2 linked regions of the Coturnix japonica genome follow. The protein of the gene in region 1 purifies or fractionates together with the protein of each later gene. This does not show direct contact. Links are inferred from orthologs where the notes say so. Each region holds a gene or a part of one and is shown on either strand. Other genes may lie near its edges.

Region 1 (10,990 bases):
GTTGTGGATGCCCCGTCCTTGGAGGTGTTCAAGGCCAGGTTGGACGGGGCCCTGGGCAACCTGATCTAGTAAAGGTGTATGTTTGGTGGCCCTGCCAGGCAGGGGGTTGGAACTACATGATCCTTGAGGTCCCTTCCAACCCGGGTCATTCTGTGATTCTGTGTAGAACGGCAGGAGCGCGGAATGGTCCCGGCTGGAAAAGCCCCCGAGATCCCAACACACCCCATGTGCCCCACAGCGGCTCCGGAGCAGCTCCAGGGACGGCGACCGAGACCTGCGGGACGGGGACAGGCTGCGAGATGGGAGCGTTCAGAATCATGGGATCATTGAATCACAAGGCTGGAAAGGACTGACAGGATCGTCCAGTCCAACCGTCCTCCCCCTACCACACCTACAGCAAACCCCAAACCATCTCTCCTAGCTCCATATCCAGATGCTTCTTGAACACTGCCAGGGATGGCGACTCCACCACCTCCCTGTGCAGCCATTGCAGTGCCTGGCCACTCTCTGAGAGAAAAAGTTCCTTCTTATGTCCAGCCTAAACCTCAACTGATACAACTTGTGGCCATTTCCTCAGGTCCTGAGAAAAACACCAAGTGAAAGCGCAGCGCCTTCAGCCCGGAGGTCGGCGTGGGGACGGCAGCCGAGGGGCGGTGTACGCAGTGCACAGCTCGCTCTCGGCCAGCAGGAGGCGCTATAGAGCACAGCAATAACGCGGTGTGTCCAGCAGGAGGTGCTGTAGAGCACAGCAATAACGCGCTGTATCCAGGGCACAGCAATGACGCGGTGCCGCCAGCAGGAGGCGCTGCGCACACGGGGCAATAATGACGGGCCGGGGGTCGCGGGTGGGTAAAATTGTTTCGTGTTTTGGTCAAAAAGGAACCCGCGTCTCTCTGTGTTGCCCAGGCTACGCTGCAGTGACTATTCACAGGCGCGATCCCGCTACTGACCGGCACGGGAGTTTTGACCTGCTCCGTTTCCGACCTGGGCCGGTTCACCCCTCCTTAGGCAACCTGGTGCGCCTCGGCTCCCCGGGGCTCACCATATTGATGCCGGCCTTAGCGCGGACGCCCGCTCGGCATAGCGCACTGCAGCCCAGAACTCCTGGGCTCAAGCGATCCGGCGGGCTCAGCCTCCCGAGTAGCTGGGACTACAGGCGTGCGCCACCGCGCCCGGCAGCGGCAGCAGCGCCGCGCGAGCCATACAGCTCTAACACGGCGGTGACGTCACACGGCGCAGGGAGGGGGAGCGGGTCGCTCTGCGCACGCGCCGCCCCCCAGTGCCGCGGTGCAGGGCGGGAGGCCGGGCCGGGTTGATTAGCGCACGCGCGGGCCGCCATCTTTCTCTCTGTGCTGGTGGCGCCGCACGCAGCCATGGGGCACCAGCAGCTGTACTGGAGCCACCCCAGGAAGTTCGGGCAGGGATCGCGGTCGTGGTCAGTGCTCACCCCGGGGTTATTGGGGTTGTTATTGGGGTTATTGGGGCTGGTGGGTCTCGGTCTCTTTCACTCTGTCGTGGTTTCTCCCCGCTCCGCCATTACCCGCCCTGACCGCTCCCTTCTCTCCACAGCCGCGTGTGCTCCAACCGCCACGGCCTGATCCGAAAGTACGGGCTGAACATGTGCCGGCAGTGCTTCCGCCAGTACGCCAAGGACATCGGCTTCATCAAGGTCAGCACACATTGCCTGCACCCCCCTATTGCCCCCCCCCCCATTGCCCCCCATTGCTGGTTCCTCACTCCTGTCGTTCTCTTGCAGCTGGACTGAGCGCTGGGATCATGAGGTCACCGCTGGATCCTGCGTTCTCCTCGGCCCTCCCTGCAGCACCTCGGTGTAGCCTCTGTCAATAAATGGCCTCCCTGCCCTATTAACCGGTGTCTCGCTGTGTTGTGTATCTGTTTGTAGGGCTCGTATCCCGCTATCGTGCCTGTTTTAGGAGGGCTGGGTTCTGGGTTGGTCTGAATGGGCTTGGCTTGGTTTTTTAGGCTTTAGCCAGACAAAACCAGGTGATGCCTTAAAGATGATCCAGGGGCTGGAGCACATCCCCTGTGAAGACAGGCTGAGGGAGCTGGGCTTGTTCAGCATGGAGGAAATAAAGCTGTGGGGTGACCTCAGTGCAGCCTGCCAGGACCTGAAGGGAACCTATAATCAGGAGGGGAGTCAACTCTTTGAAAGGGCTGATAATAGTGGGACAAGGGGAAATGGTTTTAAGTTGGGAGAGTGGTGCTGTGCTGGAACAGCTGCCCAGAGAGGCTGTGGATGCCCCGTCCATCCCTGGAGGTGTTCAAGGCCAGGTTGGATGGGGCCCTGGGCAGCCTGGGCTGGTATCAATGTGGGGGGTTGGAGCTTCATGATCCTTGAGGTCCCTTCCAACCCAGGCCATTCTGTGTTTCTGTGGTGCTTCTGAGCCCTAGGGATGCAGCCTGCTTGCTCTTGGCTGCTTGGTGACTCTGGTGTTATCTCACACTCATAAATTGGGCTCCTGGGGCTCTATTGCTGCTCTGGTCTGGGTTGGTGTGTCACAGAATCCTTTGAGTTGGAAGGAACACTTGAAGGCCATCGGGTGCCATTCCCTGCAGTGAATGGGAGCACCCACAGCTCCATCAAACGCTCAGACCCTGCCCACCCTGACCTTGTGTGCCCCCAGGCCCAGGGTACCACCTTTTCTCTAGCAACCTGTGACAGTGCCTCACTGCAAGAAATGAAACAACACAACCCTTCATCATTATATCCAATGTAAAATTTCCTCTTGGTTTGAAACCATTTCCCTTTGTTCTGCCACAGTGTAGTGGTGAAGAGCTGGGTCTCCTTTCTTAGAAACTCCCTTTAGGTATTGGAAACGCACTCAAGGCTTTCCTTGGAGCTTTCTCTTCAGGCTGAACGGCCCCAACTCTCACAGCCTGCCCTTATAGCGGAGGTGTTGATCCTTGAGATCCTTTTTATTGCCCTTCTCAGGATGTGCTCCAACAGCTCTTTGTCTTTTTGGGTGTGGTGAGAGTCCTTACATTTCCCTTACAGAGAGAGTTCAGGCAGATGTAGGGGGGTGTCTTCAATTCATACAGATGCCACTGATGTGGCAAGTTCTGTTATTTCTGACGTAGGGGTCATTCCCAATGTTGGGGAGGGTAGGGTGCCCTTCTCTAGGTAAGGTTTGCCACTGTTTGGGGTGGCCTGATAATTAAGGGGATTACAAGTGTCTGCCAGGAAGCCTCCTACAGCCCAAAGTGGTGATGTCTGAGGATCCAAACGAGCTGGGGGGGGGGCCTTAATGGGAACTGCTCAGTGTAAACCAACACTTAAATCCATGAGGGGAGCTGGTGTGGGGCACAGGGAATAGTGCAGCTCCAGCACTGCTGGGGCTCTGGGCCCAGGGGCTGAGCACGTGTTAACCGTGAGATGGAAAATGGTACTAAAAAAAGCTCTGTACCAATAGCTGCCCAGCAGGGATGCCAACTGAGAAGTGTGTTCCTACCTGAAAACAGAACTAAAGATGCTTCTGAATCACTTTGTGCTCATTAAACCAGCTATATCATCACTTGGTAATTTGGGGAATGTGAAATGTTCTTGTTTTGTTCCTATTCTGCAGCTCCCATCTTTTAAGCCTACTGGGAAGGTGGTGTAGCACAAACTGTGGTGCCTTTACACCTCCTGCTGCCTGAACCGGGTATTGATTGCTGGTATATAGAGAAAACTAGGTGCCAGAAGCTGGAGTTTGCTGAGCTCGTTGTGAAAACTGCCTTCATTTCCATCCTCAAGCTGATGATTACAGGCTCTGAAGGTGCACAGATGTGAAGCTGAAACTTATTTGGAAGCAAAGTGATTTATAAAGAGCTGTGGATTCCCCCGAAGAACAGGTAAAATCAAAGCGCTCTTTAAGGACTTTGCATTAATAGCGAACAGCTAAGACATGTTTTCCTGTAGGGAAATAACGTTGCCTGTTTGGAGCCTGGTAAAAGCTACTGATAAGTTTGCTTTGAAAAAGATGAAGCTCCAATTGCTGAAATAGAGTTTATATGGGATTTGGAGTATAGGAAAAAACACTGCGTTGCATTGGATTACGCACCAGATAAAATCTGTGATTATCAGAGGCTCTGAGAGGAATTTGCAAAGCTTTGGGTAGAACATTGGCTTTTGAACTCACCCTGAGGCGAGAAAAATGAAACTGCCTGACACGCTCAGATAGGAAAAATAGGATTCCTTCAGGTAGGCTGCAGCAATGCAGGTGCTGGGGGGGGTTCTTGTGCCCCAATGGCCACTGAGCTGCAGCCCAACCCATGGAGCTGCTGCGTGGGAGCAGGTTGGGGGTGGCCTTTGGGCTGTTCTGCTTGTAGCATCTCAGGTTGTGTGCCAGGGAGCTCTTGTCACCTTGGCTAGTTCTATTCCTTGCCTCAGGGGCTGAGGGCTGCTCTGGTGTCAGTGCAGGAGGCTGTCAGAGCTGCAGTGATCCTCAACCTGAGTATTCATTGGCATGGCCACTGCTACCCGTCTGAGCTAGGGCTTTCTTATTAGAATCAGCTGATTCTTCTTCTGCTGCTGCTTGTAGATGTCTTTTGAGGGTGTTTTTTTCACCCAGAGGGTGGTGACGCACTGGAACAGGCTGCCCAAGGAGGCTGTGGATGCCCCATCCCTGCAGGCATTCAAGGCCAGGCTGGATGTGGCTCTGGGCAGCCTGGGCTGCTGGTTGGTGACCCTGCACACAGCAGGGGGTTGGAGCTGGATGAGCACTGTGGGCATTTGCAACCCAGGCCATTCTATGGTTCTATGTCTGCACTTGTATGGTCCTTGTGCACACTTTTGTGCTTCTCCAGACTCAGCTTTGAGCACCATGGCAGGGTCCTGTGCCCATGCTGTGTCTACCACCAAAGCAGGGTGCTGGGTGCCTGTTTCCCCATGTACAGATGTCACTGCACGGCCAGGCGCACACGGCAGCAGCCTGTATTAAAGCAGAAGCTAGATGGCACAGTCTGCCTGCTGGATCTGCAGCTTCTGTGCAGAAGCAGCTCTGCAAAGCCCTCTGCCAAGGCTGGCCAGGAGCTCTGCATTTCTCAGCCTGAGATGAGAACCACATTTTCAGTTCTTGCCTTGAGGGGCCTCATCCGAGCTGGCACCACAAATACTCGTCAACCTGGGGGCATTTATTTATGAATACATATTGGAAAAGTCTCTGCCCCCACCTATGTGTCACTTAATGTGCTTCAGTGCTCCGATGTTGCTCTTCTACACACCCTGTGCTTAGAGGCCAGCATCGCTCCCAGCCCAGTCCAACAGCAGGTTTGGCTGGAACACACTCCTCACCCTGATTTCTGCAGACAGCCAACACCAGGCAGGCTGACCCTGCAGTGCTGCCCACCCATTGCAGGCCCATGTTTGGTGACTTTGTTGGCCCCTGCTCCATCTCAGCACCCAGAGGAGCCCTTGGCTGTTGGTGCATCACCCTTCCTCATCCCCGCTCCCCTTCATGGTACAGTGAGATGAATGCCTGGAGAAGCCCATGCAGATGGGATCTGGCTTGCAGCGTGGTGAGCAGAAGTGCTGCTAAATAAAACATTTTCAAAGGCTGGCATTAGGCATCAGTGGCTCTCTAATTCAAGATGCTTGTTGGGAGTGTGTGTTTGTTGCAGACAATGTTTATTTATGGCATGTAAAATCTATTTTAATCAAATAATTTCCATAACTGAATATTTATGCCAACACCCACTGAATGCTCCTTGACTAAACTGAAAACTATTTATTCAGTTATAAATGTTTACTTGTTTAGTGTTAAAACTGCTTTAAACAAACTTAAAAATCAAATTGACATCTTCCCTGCTAGCAGGATTTTCACTTTATTTCAGGCATTGCCTGGAGCTGCTTGGGCTTGGAGAGCACTGGGACGCTGCTCTCAGATATAGGGTGTGGGTTTGGGTGGTGCTGTGTGGGGCTGGAATGGACTTGGTGATCCCTATGGGTTCCTTCCAGCTTGGATTTTAAAGGGAAGCCTGCCTTGCACGGCTGGTGGTGCTGAGGGGAGCTTATAGATTCATAGAATCAGTAAGGTAAATTCACCCAGTATTAAGGCTGAAGGAATGCAAACAAGTTCAGCCCGTTTGGGGTTTTGAGTTAATACAGATGTCAAATACTTTGTTCAATAGCTCTAAATTTCCCAAGCCATCAGACATTTTCCTCCTTTATAAATGTATTTATAACAGATCTTAGAGAACCACAGAATCGTTAAGGTTGGAAAAGACCTCTGAGATCACCACGTCCAACCATCTGCTGCCACCAGTGTTGCCCCCAGGGATGGTGACGCCTCCACTCGCTGGGCAGCTGTGCCCCTGCAGCACCGATCTTTCAGAGAAGAAAACTTTCCTAACATCCAGCCTTTGTCAGCTAAATTCACGACATAACTCTGTCCCAAATCCCCATAATCGATTATGTTTGAATCTAAATTAACCTCGGTGAAACATCATCGAGTGTGCTGAATCACCCTAGGGCCTGTGGCACTACATGATGAGCTCCTGCAGCACAGTTGTACAGAGCTCCACTCTTTCCCTGTCTGAGGGTGTTGATGGCCATACTTTGGGCTGTGTGCTTTTGGGCTTCCTCCCTGCAGAGCATGACCTTGCTTATGAAGCCACCTAGCACAGCAGGCAGTGGTTTGCTGCCATCTAAACTTCACACACAACTTGCTCGGGGACGAGTTCTTGCCATGAAAAAACAAAATGTTCTGAGATAACTGGAATAGATACATGGGCATCGATGGGGCTGTGGTGGCAGGTGCCTGGGAAGAGCACAGTCCTACCCCGGTGCAGATGCAGGGATCAAGGTTTGAAGTTGGTTCAGCACTGCTGATTTTCTTGAGGTGTTTGTACTAATGAAGGAAAGAAACACCTGGAAGGCCGTTAACACAGCTCAGACATTGCAGCAGTCACAGAATCATAGAGCATCCCAGCTTGGAAAGGACCCATTGGAAAGGTCCTTGGAGGTGTTCAAGGCCAGGTTGGATGGGGCCCTGGGCAACCTGATCTAGTAATTGTGAAAGTTTGGTGGCCCTGCCAGGCAGGGGGTTGGAACTACATGATCCTTGAGGTCCCTTCCAACCCGGATCATTCTGTGATTCTATGATTCTATTCTATGAAAGGTCATTGAATCCAACTCCTGGGAATGACGTAATGAAGTCGGTTGTGGCCATTGATGTGGATGGGCTCTTCTTGATCTTCAGCCCTATGGGTCTGTCCATTCTTTCCCAACACCCACAGCAGAGTGCTGTTTATACTCTGGACATCTACAGCCATACACCCAATTCATTTCCCAACAAAGACCAAGTGCTTAGAAGGAGGATTGTTTGATGGCTCTGAGGATGCCTCGTTGCAGCTGGTCAGATGGGCAATGAAATGTTCTTGTGCTTAGAGGTGCAGCACACAGTGCCCTGGCTGCCAGTGCTGTGCAGTGTGATGCATCCGTGTCCCATCACTAGGCTCCTCCTTGCCACAAAGCCTGTCCTCTGATCAGGGGAGTGCAAACTACATTTAACAGCTATAACATATGGAAAAAATTATTATCAGCATAGGAAAAGAAGGTAAGCATCTTGTCTGGAGGCAACGTATGAAGATTTTGCAGGTACAGTTGTACCTGCTAAAGCCAGCTCTCTGGGAACAGTGGGGAGATTCTGCTCATCATATACCAAATAAAACAGTGCCATTTTTCATTGTACCTCACTGGTAACACTCTTTTTTTGAGGTGGTCCATCTGTGAGCTGGATTATTCTGAAGCCAAACTTGTTTTCAGTGCTCACTGAGGAGCCATTTACCTGTGTTATTGCTCAAAGTTTTTTGGCAGAGGGAAAATCCCACCTTTCTCACACAGCTGATGTACTGGGGCCGCTTCCAAGCATGGCTGTAAACTCACCTTGATTTGGGGTTGGCTTCGGACTTGAACCCTCAGAAGCAGGGGGGAGGGTGATGTAAATCATGGGGATATGCTTTTGGTTGCCTTAGTGCTCCTGCTATAGACCATGTGAGACCAACAGTCATACCTCTCTTTTCAGCTGAAACATCTGGTTTTGGATAGGAATACTTTAATTTCTATTGCAAATGGTGTAAAAGCATGAATGCCAAAGCAGAGCTTTGCCAGCAGGGTAAAGCCACCCAGGGTCTACTCTGATTCTGCAGGATCAGCAGTTTCCATGCAAAAACAAAGAGGGCTGTTTGCATGAAAGCTCTGGAACAGGCTGCCCAGGGCAGTGGTGGAGTCCTTGTCCCTGCAGGCATTCAAGGCCAGGCTGGATGTGGCTCTGGGCAGCCTGGGCTGCTGGTTGGTGACCCTGCACACAGCAGGGGGTTGGAGCTGGATGAGCACTGTGGGCCTTTGCAACACAGGCTGTTCTATGACGATTCTCTGATTCTACATTTCTATGCCACTGCTCCTCCACAGAAAAGGCCAAAGCATCTTCAAAGCCTTTATCAGATAGGAAAACCACATAGAAGAGCAAGCGCTGCTACGAGCAGAAGAAAACCCACGAGTTATTAAAAAAGATTTGCAACACAAAGCTGTGAGTGGAATCATCTCAGCCAACACTGAAAAGAAATGGCAGGGACCAAAGGGAGAAAGTGCCCCTTCTTGAGCATTGGCGTTGGAAAGCAGCTCTCTCGTGCGCTCCTCAGCCACGCAGCAGAATTAGCAGCTTAGCCCCAGGCAATGGCTGGATTGACAAACTGGCCTCTTATGTCCACAGCCTGTTGTGAAAGGAATATTAAAGCTGCGACATCCATAAAACACCGTGTCTGCAGCTGCGATTTGACTTTATTTCTTTTCAAGAGACTCTGACAGAGTGAGACTGAACGATGGGATACTGCATCAAATCCACCTCCCAAAGGACGGGCTGAAAACCACTGAATCTGCACCAGTAAAGGACGTTTATGAGGAGTGTTGGTGGGGGCTAAAGAAGGAGCATCCCATGTCCCAGGATGACAAGGTGGGTGTGATGGAAAGCACACAAGTGCCCATGAGGATGAAGAAGTGCCATTGCCTGCCCAGGTGGTGGTAGTGGGGACATGTAGAACCATAGAGGTGTGGCACTGAGGGACGTGGATGGTGGAGATGGGTTGGGTTTGGGCTTGGGGATCTGGGAGGTTTTTTCCAGCCTTAATGATTCTGTGATTCTATGCGTGATCCAGAAAGCAGTAACTCTGGATGTCGCCTCTTGTTAAACTCATTCATTGCGTCAGTGAGGGGATGGAGGACGAGGAGGCAGTGCTTGTTTGTGGGGTGGTTGAGGGGTAAACGAGGGCACACAGCTCACAGAGGGGCAGCAGTTGGCACCGCGCGGCCTCAGGAGCCCCAGCAGAGACAGGGACTATTTATACATCCAAACAAACATCCCTTAACTGCAGAGCATCTGCCTGAGGATGACATTTATGGAGAGAAACGGCAAGGGGAATTTCAGGTGGTCCATGACAGCGTGTGCTGAGAAGTTCTGTTATTGTTTGGCTTCACATCTTTTCCCTGATTTTCCGCATTTTTGGCCCAAGGGCTGTACTGTTGGAGCCCGGCTCTTCTGCAGTGACCTCAGCACCTGCATCCCTGGGGACCACTGTGAAATCCCATTTGGTTCCTGCTGGATGGGGGCTCAAACTCTTCCTCTTGTGGTATTGGGGCTTCACCCCACAATCCATCATGGTTGGAGATCCCCACCCTTTCTTTTACAGCCTCTGCTTTTTTGGAGGTCAACCAGGGAGCCGATAAAAGCAGATGGATCTGTTGTGAGTGGAAACACAAATAAAAAACACCAGCAGTGCTGATGGTTCCCCCCCTCCCCACCTCCCAGGGACACATAAAACTTTAACAAGTGAATGGAGCTAAGTTTGTGCACCGGAGTTAAAATTGCATGAGGAACATTTTCATGCTCTGTGCTGGTTGTGATCTCTGCTGGGCTGACACCCTGCCCTGTGCCACCTCATGACCCCCAGCTCCAGGGGCAGCATTTCCAGCTCCGGTACAGCCCTGAAGCTCCACTTTCATGGGTAAAGCAGAGATTTGGGGTCAGAGAAAGAGCATCTGCTGTATGGGGTCCTGGCCCTGCGGGGAGTGGTGCTGGCTGGGGGCACTGAGCAGATGACCCTGCTGGTAACGTCCCACCCGTGTGGATGCAGTCTCATCTCTGTAGGACTTTTGGCAGTGATTATGAAGTGGTCATGAGCTCAAAGTGCTTCTGCCATGGTCTTCACACCATCCTCACGTGTGTCTGTCCTGCCATACATGGGAAGTGGGTTTGGGCTGGTGGGATCAGTGATGTTTGTAGCTAGGGGGGATGAGCCCACCTTCATAGAGTCAGGAAGGGTTGGGAGGAGGGACTCTCAGACACTTGTATTCCCATCATGCTGCTATTTACCCCTTTAGGCATGAAGAAGATGGACCTGAGGGTCCAGCGCCTTTGGGGACACTGGAGAGCTACCCCTGCGCCTGGAGCCATTGAGGGGAGCAGTGGCACCTCCATATGCTTCTGTTGGACTTTGGGGTGTTTGGCCTTCTGTCTCAGAGGCAATGGAAGATGTTACATCAGAGGTTGGTGTATGTATGAAATTGGCCACTTCTGGGCAATTTGCAAAACTTGCATTGTTTTGGGTTGGCTTCATCGCCTTTGTATTTCATGGGTGATCTCAGATGCCCTGGGAATGGAGACTAAAAGGTGTAATTTGGGGCCTCTGGGAAGAGCCCCAGAGCGCTGCCCTACACCTGGGGCTGTGCTGGGGCTGTAGTTGGGATGGCAGCTGGTGAAGGGTTGGCCCAGGCTGAGACATGACCAGCGGCACAGGGCACTCTTGCAGGATCTGGAATTTGGAGGTGATGTTGTCAGTAGATGGAGCTGTTTATTAATGTTTCCTGATAATTTATGGTGCAGAAGGAGGCCTCGGTGCTGCATGGAGTCTGCGGTGTTCCTGGCCTCTGGGGAAGGGTCCCAGTCCCAGTTCTGTCCCTGTCTCCACCCTGTCCTCATGTCACCCAGAGCTCAGA
Region 2 (11,112 bases), on another chromosome or scaffold:
CACCCTCTGCCCCATTTCAGGGCCAAAGCAGTGTGAGCTGTATTACAGTGTGTGTTTGTGTGTGTGCACTTTTTTGCTTGTGAGAGTGTCAGATGCAGCTGTGGAACATCTGCAGAAGTCCTTCCGTATCTCCATCTGTAACTCAGGCAGACAGCTCAGGGCTCAGCCCACAGCTGCACTTCCACAAAGCACTGGCCTAGTTTTCCAAAGGGTCATGGAGAAGGAAACTTCCACGCTGTAAGAGATGACATCATTGGCTGTTTGTATTACAAACAGAAGTGTCATAGAAGGAGATGTAAAAAACCAGCAGCTTATACCACTGATACTTTTTTTAACCTCAGTGGCATGGACTGCACACAGCATTGCCACAATTCTGGGTTAGTTTATTCCACCATCAGAAAAAATGGGGCAGTGCTGAGGGAGAAGGGCAATTTTGGAATGTTTTAGCCAGTCAAACATCATTCTGCCATAGGCACGAGGCACACAGGCTCCACCACATGGAGACCCCACTGCCCAGTAACCCCCAGGCAGCCCAACACATGAGCAAAGCTGGCTTCTTACAGCAGGGTTTGGCTCTGAGGACAGGGCTCCCATAAGGAGTTCCAGAGAGTAAGCTAGAATCCAGCATCCCACAGGTAAGGGCCCAACCTCAGGTTACCTGAGAATGCTTCAGTGCCAGGCTTGAGGTACTCACAGAGCCCCAAGGACACAGCCTCATGCCAACAGCAGGGTGTGAGGGGAGCTCCCGTGTTACCCCACGTACCCTAGCAACTGCTGTGCGCAGTGACTCAAAGACAACACAAGTATTTGTTGGCTTTGCCTTCCAAATGGAAGCCTTCTGTCTCGTCTCCAGCATGGCCTCATACACACGGCTCTACAGTAAAGCAGCCATAGCTGCAGCAGCAAGATGTGAGCAGGCCCCAGACTGGGCTGCAGGACACAGGCAGCAGTGCAGCCCTGCTCCTGAGGCTCAGACATACAGCAGCCACCACGGTGCTGCTGTGGAGGCAGGGCCCAGGCGCTCCAGCTTTGGGCTGCATTACAAGGAGCCCCAGTCCTCACCACCCTCCTGCCACGGTGTTATATGCCACGAGCATGTGCTACACCCCCACCAGCACCACAGCTGCTGGAACAGGCACCTCTCCTCCTGTAAACAAGTCCTTATAAGCTGTGAAGTTACTCAATATGACAGATGGTTCAGCCCTGCCATGCTGACAACATGCAGCTGTGCTTTCTTTGCATCGATGCTACTAAGTTACCAGACTTTTTCAGGGAAATAAATGGCAATTGAAGTTAGTTGGAACAGTAGCGATGTTCTAGGTAAACAATTTTCAAAACAAATCTCCCTTTTAGCAATAGCTACGCTAAGATAAACTAAAGGAAGTTTTCCCTTGTGGATGAACCCAGGCTGAACCAAGCCTCACACAAATGAAGGCCTGCTCTGCAATGAGCACAGCAAGTACTTACACTCACATATCACATTTCTGAACTAACTGTTCCTCGATGGCACATAGAAGCTTTATGTTTCTGTACCTGAAATCACAGGGAGCAGTTAGTGCTGAGTACCTTAAGGCAACATTCCTCATTTAGGAGTATTCTTAGTTGAGACATACTCCTGTTTCAATGGGAAGCCACTTCAAGCCCTTCCTCTCCACTGTGGCATTAACACCGTATGTTGAAAAGAGAAGAAAACAGCCCAGACTTTTGCATTAAAATACAAACTTTACAAGCACATAGTAAGTGTAGGCTCTTATATTTCAGTTTAAGACTATATAATTTTATAGAGTACCAAAATAAGCAAAGGATCAGCACTCCATACAAAGTGTTAGGTTCTTAGGAGGAAGGCAGAAGGGAGGTGGAACTTAATTACACTAAGATTTGCTTTGCAAGTCTAAAGAAAATTCCATTTCAGCAAAAACAGTTGGGTTTATATTTCCCATATTTCTAGTTCATTAAATAATGTTTCTTTAAAGACAACTTACATTGTTCTTGTTCAAAGTAAAGGGATGATTTAAAGCAGTATTAACAAGGAGGTGGTGCTGTTAATGTTTAATGTCAATATGCAATGTCATCTGCTATAAAGGCTAGAAGAGCAACACAACTTTATCGTTACTTTCAAGGACTATTAGAAATCGACTAACATTTGAGGAAGGTTTCAAGCACACTACACTGCCTCTAGCTCTACGCTGCTGCTGGGAAAGCCTCTGCAATCTACTGTACACTGCCAACAGGAACTCGGCACACCAGCTCCAACTCCCAGCTGCTGGCAGCAATGTTTTCACATGTACGCTGTCAGGCCAACACCAAGCAGTTGTGTTTCTTCCCTGACTCATGGCATTAAGATGCAGTAGGTTATTAGCTAACATTATCGCTACAGTATTACAAAAAGCGTAAGTCTGAACAAAACAGCAGTTAAAGCGCTCTGCTTCACTTCAGGAGTCGTTCTGTGACAACTCTCCTCTAGTCCCTGCGGTTTCCTCCTCTACTTCTTCCCTAGTTTCTATTTTACAATAAATAGATTAAGTGGATTTACATGATGCAAGTGAAACTCAGAAGACTTCTGCCCTATGCATGTAACCGTTAAGCTGTGAGATTATACATGTGACACACCTCTAACAGAGCAACCACTGGTTTAGAGTATTAAAGAAACACAAGTATTTCAGCATGTACAAAGTAATGAGTTCAGAACTGTCCGACATGGTCACTTCCATACATTCTCTTCCTCTTTATAGCGTTAAAGGGATTTTAGACCTTGATGGCAACAATCCCAAAGCAAGAGTAAAATGAATTTATTTTATTGCAAACAAACGTCTAGAGTTAAATTTCTCCACCCACTTTCTTTAAAGAGAAAAGGAATCAGCAGGCTGAGGAGATACACCCATTTGAGAATCGACATGATTAAAAATTAGATATAAAATGGGTGACTCACAGTTTCATTAGCTTACAAAATGGTGGAGTAACTACTACAAGCACACTAGGTATACAGTATTTGGTGGGGAAGTTATACAGACACACAGCTAACTTCATATAGATCCCATTAGACAACTGGATTTACAACAAGTTTTGTTTAATAAGAAATGGGCAAAGCCAGCTTCTTTTCAGAATCAAAATGCAGAACAAATGGAAAAGAAATTATGGTGGTGTACCTTCACAAGTTTGAGCCTCCACAAGTAACGCAACCAAGTTTTACAACTTTAAGAGCTTCTACATACACTCCACCTTCACTATTGAGCTCCAGGTTTCCTCTTCACCCCCAATCTCATCGAGTTCCAAATGTTACAAAAAAGTCCTAGTTTATTGCCAGAAACTTTTACCACCCCCTTCCCACCTCCCCACACAAAAGCTTTATAGAGAGGATGGAGTGTAATATGGAGCTTTACATTATATATTCATGAGGGCTACCAAGGAGCCTCCACACGAATCTGGTTGCTCGTATTTCGATCGTATTTGTGACACGACTCACGACTGTTTCTTAGAAATTGGGGTAAATGGGGGGAAAAAGGAGAAAATTCTTTAATAAAAAGACACCAGGTACAAAGCAACGTTTTACTTTTGTTGTGGTAAAAAAAAAAAAAGTCACATTTTACAGATAAAATGTAGAACCCTGAAATACTGACACATTCTCTTATCGTGCACAATGCTGAGGTTCTCTTACGAATCACTTTAAAACTGCAATTAAAAATGTACAAAAAAAAGAAAAAGAAAAAAATCAACCCACAAAGCTTCTAAAAAAGGAACCCGCAGGCACTTCCTCTTGTGGAATGTTTAAAAAGTTAGCCTACTAAAGAAAACAGTCGACTTCTTGTGAAGGTTTGGGAGAAATATGTATCAGTTCATTTATTTGGGTATTCAATAATATCCTTGGTGATAATGCTGACTCCATGGCTTCTGACCCCAGAATTGCTGCAATAAATGGATAAATAGTTAATTTAAGTTAGTTAAAATAGTTAATTAAGTTAGCACATAACACGCTTCTTAGAGAACGAGTTTTTAAACACACATTTAACTTATCCAGGAACTTGAGATTAAAATCGTCTCAAATAGCAGCAAATCCCAGAACAACTGGAGGTGGTTACGTTCATTACACAGTAGTAACAGAGCCAAATACTTCAATGCCATTAAGACCAACGCGCCATAGCTGATACTTGATATATCAAGCCAGATCAAGCTTTGCAGAACTATTTATAATATTACTTGGCATTAGAAGATTCTGCTCTCTGGTGCTGGTTACACATTAATTTCCAAGCATTCTGAAACACTTAACAGTCAAATTAAGAGGAAAAAGTTTAGTTATTACTACTTACACCCTGCTGCCACTGGTTGTAGCCCTGAGATTGGTTTTTGTAGCCACGATTATTCCCCCTTCCTCTGAAGTTCTGCAAGAGGACAACAGTTTTGAGCCACCTCATCCATGCAGACTTGGCAGAAACACAGCAACACCAGTCCTTCTACTGCCACCAAAACACGTGCCATACCCAATCTTTCAAGTATCAGTAACGGGGCTGGGTTAAATACCAAAAGCCAGCCTCAAGCAGCTGCCTCTTAAAACCTGCCTGTTTAGTGGCAGCGGTTTTACCCCAGACACAGACTACAGTTGCCAATGGTTTGGAAAGCTGGCTAATCCAGTTTTGACTCACCCTATATCCAGCTACTAAACTGCACTAGGACAACTAAAAATACTAGAGCTTGCCTATTTTTAGTTAGGGAAGATTGTAGTTGCTATGTTATCTGATCGGACAAAAGGATATGGGTCATACAACTTAAAATAGAGGAGTTAGATCACAAAACTTTAAATAAAAGCCTTTGTACAAAAGACTATCTATGATAAAATACTGCATTTCCCATTTGTGTTAGACAAACCTGAGCCATGTTTATTAGCTTGGGCTCCATCTACTGGCTCTTCAGTAATCAGAATCATATTTTCAAGTGCTTTCACTGATACTTTGTCAGTTTAAGACCAAAGCTAGCATGTCTTTCATGATTTGATACAAGATGTCAATACAAAGACTCCTTCCAGAGCAATTTCCAGAAAATTCTTTAAATGCCATCCACTTTATCTTCTGAACAGATACACTCTGCCCTTAAGGTCAAACAACAGTTACTGATACTGCAGGTTGGACAGCATGAGGGAACAAAACCACCTGTTAGTATGGCTGCTCTTATACGGACTTCTGCACAATTTGTGCAGTATCAAAACCCAACTCTAGTTAAACTCAAACAGTTGGACTATAAGCCAGACTTAAGCATAAACTGCACAGGGTAGACCCACATTCTATAAATGAAGCTCAGACTATGAAGTGCTTTACAATGGAACAGAAACTCTAAAAACCTTCAGCTTTATCAGGACTAAGATAGGCTTACTAGGAAACCACTGCATCAGCATTCACAGTTCTTACAGCTCCAGGCATGTACTCTTAGCTAGAAAGTTAAATCTTTTGCTGTGGAACTAAGTGTACCAAGCTTGCTACTATCCACAGCTAACAAGCCTGTCAACAACAGAACAGTATCCAGAGTACTGCATATCAACTAGTAACTCCTCCATGACAAGCATTACCTGGTTGTAGTTTCCCCTGTTGGGCATTCCACCTCTGTTATAATTTCCTCTGTTTGAGTAGCCACCTCTGCTAGGAAAGACAGGGCCACGAGGATAAGGATAGCCAATGGCACCGCTGCTGCCGCCACCACCGCCACCTCCACCTCCACCACGCTGTGGCATATTGCCTCCCCTCCTGTTGTATCCACCTCGATTGCCTGGGACTGCAGAGAAAAGTTTGCTCAATTCAAGTACCTGTTAGGCCTTAATTGTCTCTCACGCAGTTACAGCTTCAAACAAAGACTCTTAAAAGGTGAAAAAACGAGATGCCAAAATTCACTGCAGAAGTTCCAATGCAAACACTTCAAAATAACCTTTTATCCATGACGGCCAAGCAACATAAAGATACCAAATGCCCCCTTAATATGGCGTTCTACACAAGGAAGCACCAGATTTACTGTAAGAACTTAAAATTGTACCTCAAACTACACAAACAGCAACATTTTTTGTGAAGCTCAGTTGTAACGTGTCAGAAAATTAGCTTTGCACTAAAGGTCAAGCTATTAAAAACTTACTGGAACTGAAATCGATGATACTGTCACAGAATGGATGCAATTCAAATAGGACAAGCTTTCCTTTCTTATTTTTGCAATCCGTTATCCCCAACATTTATACACTTATTTCTAGGCTCACCTCCTCCTCTGAAGTTGCCACGCATGTTGAATCCTCCACGCCCCCTCTGCCCTCTATTAAACTGATTTTTATTGCTCTTCTTGTTTTTCTTTGAGCCAGTGTTCTGTTTCTTTTCTGGCGGAAGAGATTTCTTACTTTCTTCTTTATATTGTTCCAAGAGTTTCTGAGCTTCTTCTTTTTGCAATTCTACATAGATTATTTCATCAAAACATTCTGCTACCTCTGGCAGTGTGAAGTTCCCTATAATTGCAAAAACACTGAGTATTCAGCATCTCCATTCAGCCACAATTCAAGCTGCATTTAACCACCTTTCTCTCTCATTCTTCCTCCCACCCCCAACATTCTCTCAGCATAGGGACAAAATTACGTAATTTGAGCAGTAAAGAAAGGTAAGAGTGACAAAAGAAATAAAAGGGTCTCCATGGAGTTGCCAGTACTGTTCCAAACCTTGAAAGCATTCTGCCTATGCTTTTTTTTTTTCCCTTTATAAGCCTCCACTCAGAACATCAGTTTCTGCCAAATATGTCACTTAAATAGGGCACTTTATGCCAAGACAGCTTTGTGCATCTGCATGAAGCATATCAGCATAAATGAGTAGTGTTAAGGACTGCAGCAGAGGGAACACAATATAGTGTTGTCCTACAAGTTACAATAGTCTTCCAGTTTTGTTTAAGTACAACTGTTTAAGATAACGTAAATTTTTAGATTTCAGGTTTACTTAATCCTTTAAGCAGATATTCAGCATCCTAAAACACAGTATAGGATTATGTTCCATGCCTTTCATTTTGAGAACTGCATGCTCTGGAAGATCTTTTCCCTCCACCTCTGCCTTCTTTTGTGTTCTTTGCTTGTAGTCTTCATCTTTTGGGCAAACAACAACTGCTTTGCGCTGGAAGCCTGCAAACAGGCACATTTTTCTCCTCTGCGCAGCTGCAGACACATTTGTCTGAAAAAAATGCAGTAACTTACTACACGTAGCTGTCATTGTAAGAGTTAAGGAAGTCAACTTATGGTGTATAGACTTCACCTCTACAAGAGCTTGCATTGAAGTTTACAAATAACTGGACATAAAGAAGCTGCATAATGCAAAGTTACGAACGAGCTCATATCAAAGTGTTACACTATTCCTCCCACATCCCATAGAAGTTCAGAAAAGCATTTGCAGTAGCATCTCAACTTTGCACATTAAATCAGTAAGTGAAACAACCGCTATTAAAATATAACTTTAATCCCACTTAATTACTACATTACAGCCTATAGCAAAATTCCTTAACAATTTTTTACTGAAGTTTCTACCTGATCCAAAATGAAATTCCGCTTCTTACGAGCTGCAATCTCAATGAATTTTCCAAGACACTGTGGAGCTCGCTGCAACAGTGTGTTAAGCTTCCCAGTGTCTGCCATCTGCCTCTTAAAACCTGCAACCTATAGAAATTTGAGTTATAGTAGACTCAGTACACACAACTGATATTTTGCTCTGCTAAAGTTATTTTCAACTGGCTTCAGGGATACAAAATACATAAATACAAACTTCCGATTCAGTTTTTTTCTTTTATAAGCAAAGAATTTGTTTGAATTGATACAGCTGAATCTGAGGTGTACTTGTATTACTGACTCCAAGCTGTATTTTCTGTACTGAGGACGGAGACAAACAAATGGGTAAACATCAATTACTTCCTGATTGATATTTATTACATAAGAAATTTCAAAATCTGGCTATGCTGTGTATGAGAAGTAGCTCAGCACGGTAACATCTTTAGCACTCACAGTCAGTCAAATAACGATCACGTGTTTCTTAGATTACTTAGACTGAAGGGAATTCCCTGGCAGCCAAGGACCTTGGATTTACAGCAAGTCTTTAAATGATCAACTTACCATCATTTTGTCCATAATAGTATTCGTCCCAAGAATGTTGTACTTCCCAGGATTTGCTGCTGCGTGTTTAGTTACCCATGTAGTCTTGCCAGCTCCAGGCAATCCAATCATCATCACCACCTATTACAACACATTCCGTATTTGATGCTAGCTCACAGATATTCCTTAATAAGCAACTAAGCCTAGCAACCCTAATGGAAATCTAGTATGGAGAGAGGCACAAGCTACTCAGTATTAAATTCTTCAGACAGAAAGGTGAATTTTCTTTAACAGCTTAAAATACAACACTTGGGTTCATCTCTCCTCAACAACTTCTGAGATAACCAGGAAACTTACCTCACAATCTTTCTTTTGCTCAGGTCCTTTTGGTCCTCGAACCCTGTCTTCCAGGGGGACCTTCTGGATGAAGGTATACTCTTCGGGTACAGGAAAGTAAGGTTCATCCTTCTGACCAAAGTTGAACTCAACTGCACAGTTATGGCAGAGAACATGTGGAAAGAGTGGGCGCCCATCAAGAACTTCCTTACTAATTTTGAATGCAACACCAAGCTCTTGTCCGTTCTTGGAATACGAGAGCTCCACTTCATCACCATCAAAATTCTGTTTCACAGACAAAGCGTTAGTTTGTGTAAAAACATGCACACTGCATAAAAACACATTAATATTTCACCACACTGGCTGTATTTATATAACTTCTAATAACACCATTATAAAATGAGTAGATCCTTAAATTAGGAAACAATCTTTAAATATCAATGATCGTGCTAAGACATGATTATTCTTTTCAAAGCCTTGGAAAACATGAGAAAGGTTGACAGCAGCCACTGCTGCTTATACATGCTACTTCTACCTTCTCAGTACGCTAAATAACTTGTCTTTCTTCAAATCAACCGCTTCTCACATCAAAGCAGCCTGAAAATTAAAGGATGTTTTTCCTCAAGAGAATAACTTAAGAGAAAACTTACAGCAAAACATCCAATCACATCATTTTCATCAAACTTCTCACCAAAGTCTTCAGTCTCACAATTGCATGTCTTTATTCCCTTTAGAGAATAGCCGTAAGAAAATTCTTCTTCACCTGAACAAGAAATTTAAACTTTGTAATAATACGTATTTTCTTCTAGCTGTTCAGAAACGCAATTACTTCACAATTACTTAAATGAACTGCTGTTCTAAATGTTTTCATTGATGCCAAAACAAGTCATCACCCTCAGAATAGCTACAGCTGTTTCTTGCATTTAAGAATTCAATAGTGTCATTTAAAATGGAACAGCAGTTTTTTCCTCACCCTAACCTTAAAAGCTTTATGCTACTGGTTCCAGATTCTTGGTGACAAAATGCTGAACACTTCTAGCTAAAGACATGAGTAAGTATTCTTAAACCCTGAAAACCTGTTTGTGAATCAGTATACCTGTAATGCAGTTAGTCAGAAAGGCATTTCTGAATTAAGTCTCCAGCAGCACTTACCCCTCCCCATTTTAAAGGGAGTTTAGCAGACATTCAGCCTATGCGACAGCTGAGGATGAAGCTGCAAGGAACAAGCTAACAGCAAACGTCAAACACAAGAACTCAGATGGAATTTAAGTACGTATAACTAGAAAGTTGCTGCTATCAGAATACCCCTATTCGTACACATTTTTCAGACATATCTCATCAGCAGCTATTAGTTAAAAATACAGTAATTATCTGATCCCACTTATCTACTGAAGTTGTTTTTTGTTGTTCCAGCTGTTTAGAAATAAGACTCCCCAACTCCAAGAGAATAGTAACACAATTATCTACGAATTTTCCTTCTATGCGTAAACCTTATAATCTCAAAATCTTAAATAGTTAACCTTGTTTGGTCCCAGTACTAAACTTCCACAACATCCATTAATAACTCAAAACCCCTTTTCAAAACACACGGGCTACAATCGTTCAGTTTTACAGATGCTTTTCTGTTAGTCAGACAGGAAAATTTCAACCACAGACAATATAACACAGAAGAAAAACTTGAGGTCTTACCGAGCAACATTCCACTTGTGTTCAGCGACCAGCCAACTCGCACCTCATGTATATCAATGTCTTTTGTATACAGGTGTTTAACAGGAATCTTTTCTGTAACCTATTTTTAAATTATTCATTAAAAGTTATTGAGTGTTTTTTTCTAAGATCCCAACAAGAAAGAAGCAATGGTAACATCCAGAACCTTTATTCTCTGCTTACATCTTTACAAGTCCAAATAACAGTTTTTTTGCTTAAGTACAAGACTTAACCATGCCTGTGAAATCACAAAGCAGTCACTAAATGTTCAAATCCCTTGACTGACGGAGATGCAAAACATCACGTACCTTCAGAGCACTTAATCACAGCATTCTCTTGATAGTCAAAAATATCAACCCTCTTGATACTGCGTTAAAATTACAGCCCGCAAGGAATATAATCAATTAGAAACTCTGCTACAACATCGGGATTAACAGCGAATTGCTTTGCCAATAAAGTGTGGCATGAGATGAGAACACTTCTCCAGACAGACCCAGGGAAATACTACACCCTTTTCCAGAGAAAGCAGAGATCCCAGGCAAATTGCCAACTACCAAACAACAGAACCAGATTCAAAAACCTCGCCTGGGAGCACTGCGAGCTGGAGGCAACCAGCTCCTCTAATCGCCTTGTAGAAAATAGCATCAAATTTAAGTGGGGAAAAAAATCACAGGCCACTGGTTTCCACAAATATTTGAGTCATGTGACCAAGGGAAAGTCTGAAGAGTAACAAGACAATAAATACAATGTTTCATGTTCTTGTCCTCCCAGAGTTACAGTCACCAATGAATGGGATCACTACCAACTCATATGTGAGCAGTTAACATTTGGAAGTAGTAAAAAAGTGAACAGAATAAGCACATGTCCACACACATCTTCAGCAAATAAGGCTTTAACGCTGCTAAAAATCAAGATGTTTGACTTTGTGACTCCTGATTTTCTTCCTTGACAAGTGGGAGGAATCTGTTTCTTGTAAGGCTGATTGCCCT

Evidence for each region.
Region 2: the proteins of RPS29 (region 1) and HNRNPU fractionate together in Homo sapiens (co-fractionation; 3 studies listed by BioGRID and IntAct, with this or other methods). This does not show direct contact. The link is inferred for Coturnix japonica from reciprocal best matches to the Homo sapiens genes RPS29 and HNRNPU.

What each region holds. Positions count from the first base shown.
Region 1 is NC_029520.1:52,236,004-52,246,993, reverse strand, and holds RPS29 (40S ribosomal protein S29), read left to right. Parts: upstream 1-1,298; 5' UTR 1,299-1,373; coding exon 1,374-1,435; intron 1,436-1,569; coding exon 1,570-1,669; intron 1,670-1,756; coding exon 1,757-1,765; 3' UTR 1,766-1,869; downstream 1,870-10,990. UniProt on the Homo sapiens protein: Component of the small ribosomal subunit. The ribosome is a large ribonucleoprotein complex responsible for the synthesis of proteins in the cell.
Region 2 is NC_029518.1:31,201,194-31,212,305, reverse strand, and holds the end of HNRNPU (heterogeneous nuclear ribonucleoprotein U), read right to left. Parts: intron 10,206-11,112; coding exon 10,106-10,205; intron 9,180-10,105; coding exon 9,067-9,179; intron 8,702-9,066; coding exon 8,438-8,701; intron 8,222-8,437; coding exon 8,102-8,221; intron 7,652-8,101; coding exon 7,523-7,651; intron 7,173-7,522; coding exon 7,004-7,172; intron 6,467-7,003; coding exon 6,227-6,466; intron 5,758-6,226; coding exon 5,555-5,757; intron 4,377-5,554; coding exon 4,305-4,376; intron 3,904-4,304; coding exon 3,850-3,903; 3' UTR 2,035-3,849; downstream 1-2,034. UniProt on the Homo sapiens protein: DNA- and RNA-binding protein involved in several cellular processes such as nuclear chromatin organization, telomere-length regulation, transcription, mRNA alternative splicing and stability, Xist-mediated transcriptional silencing and mitotic cell progression.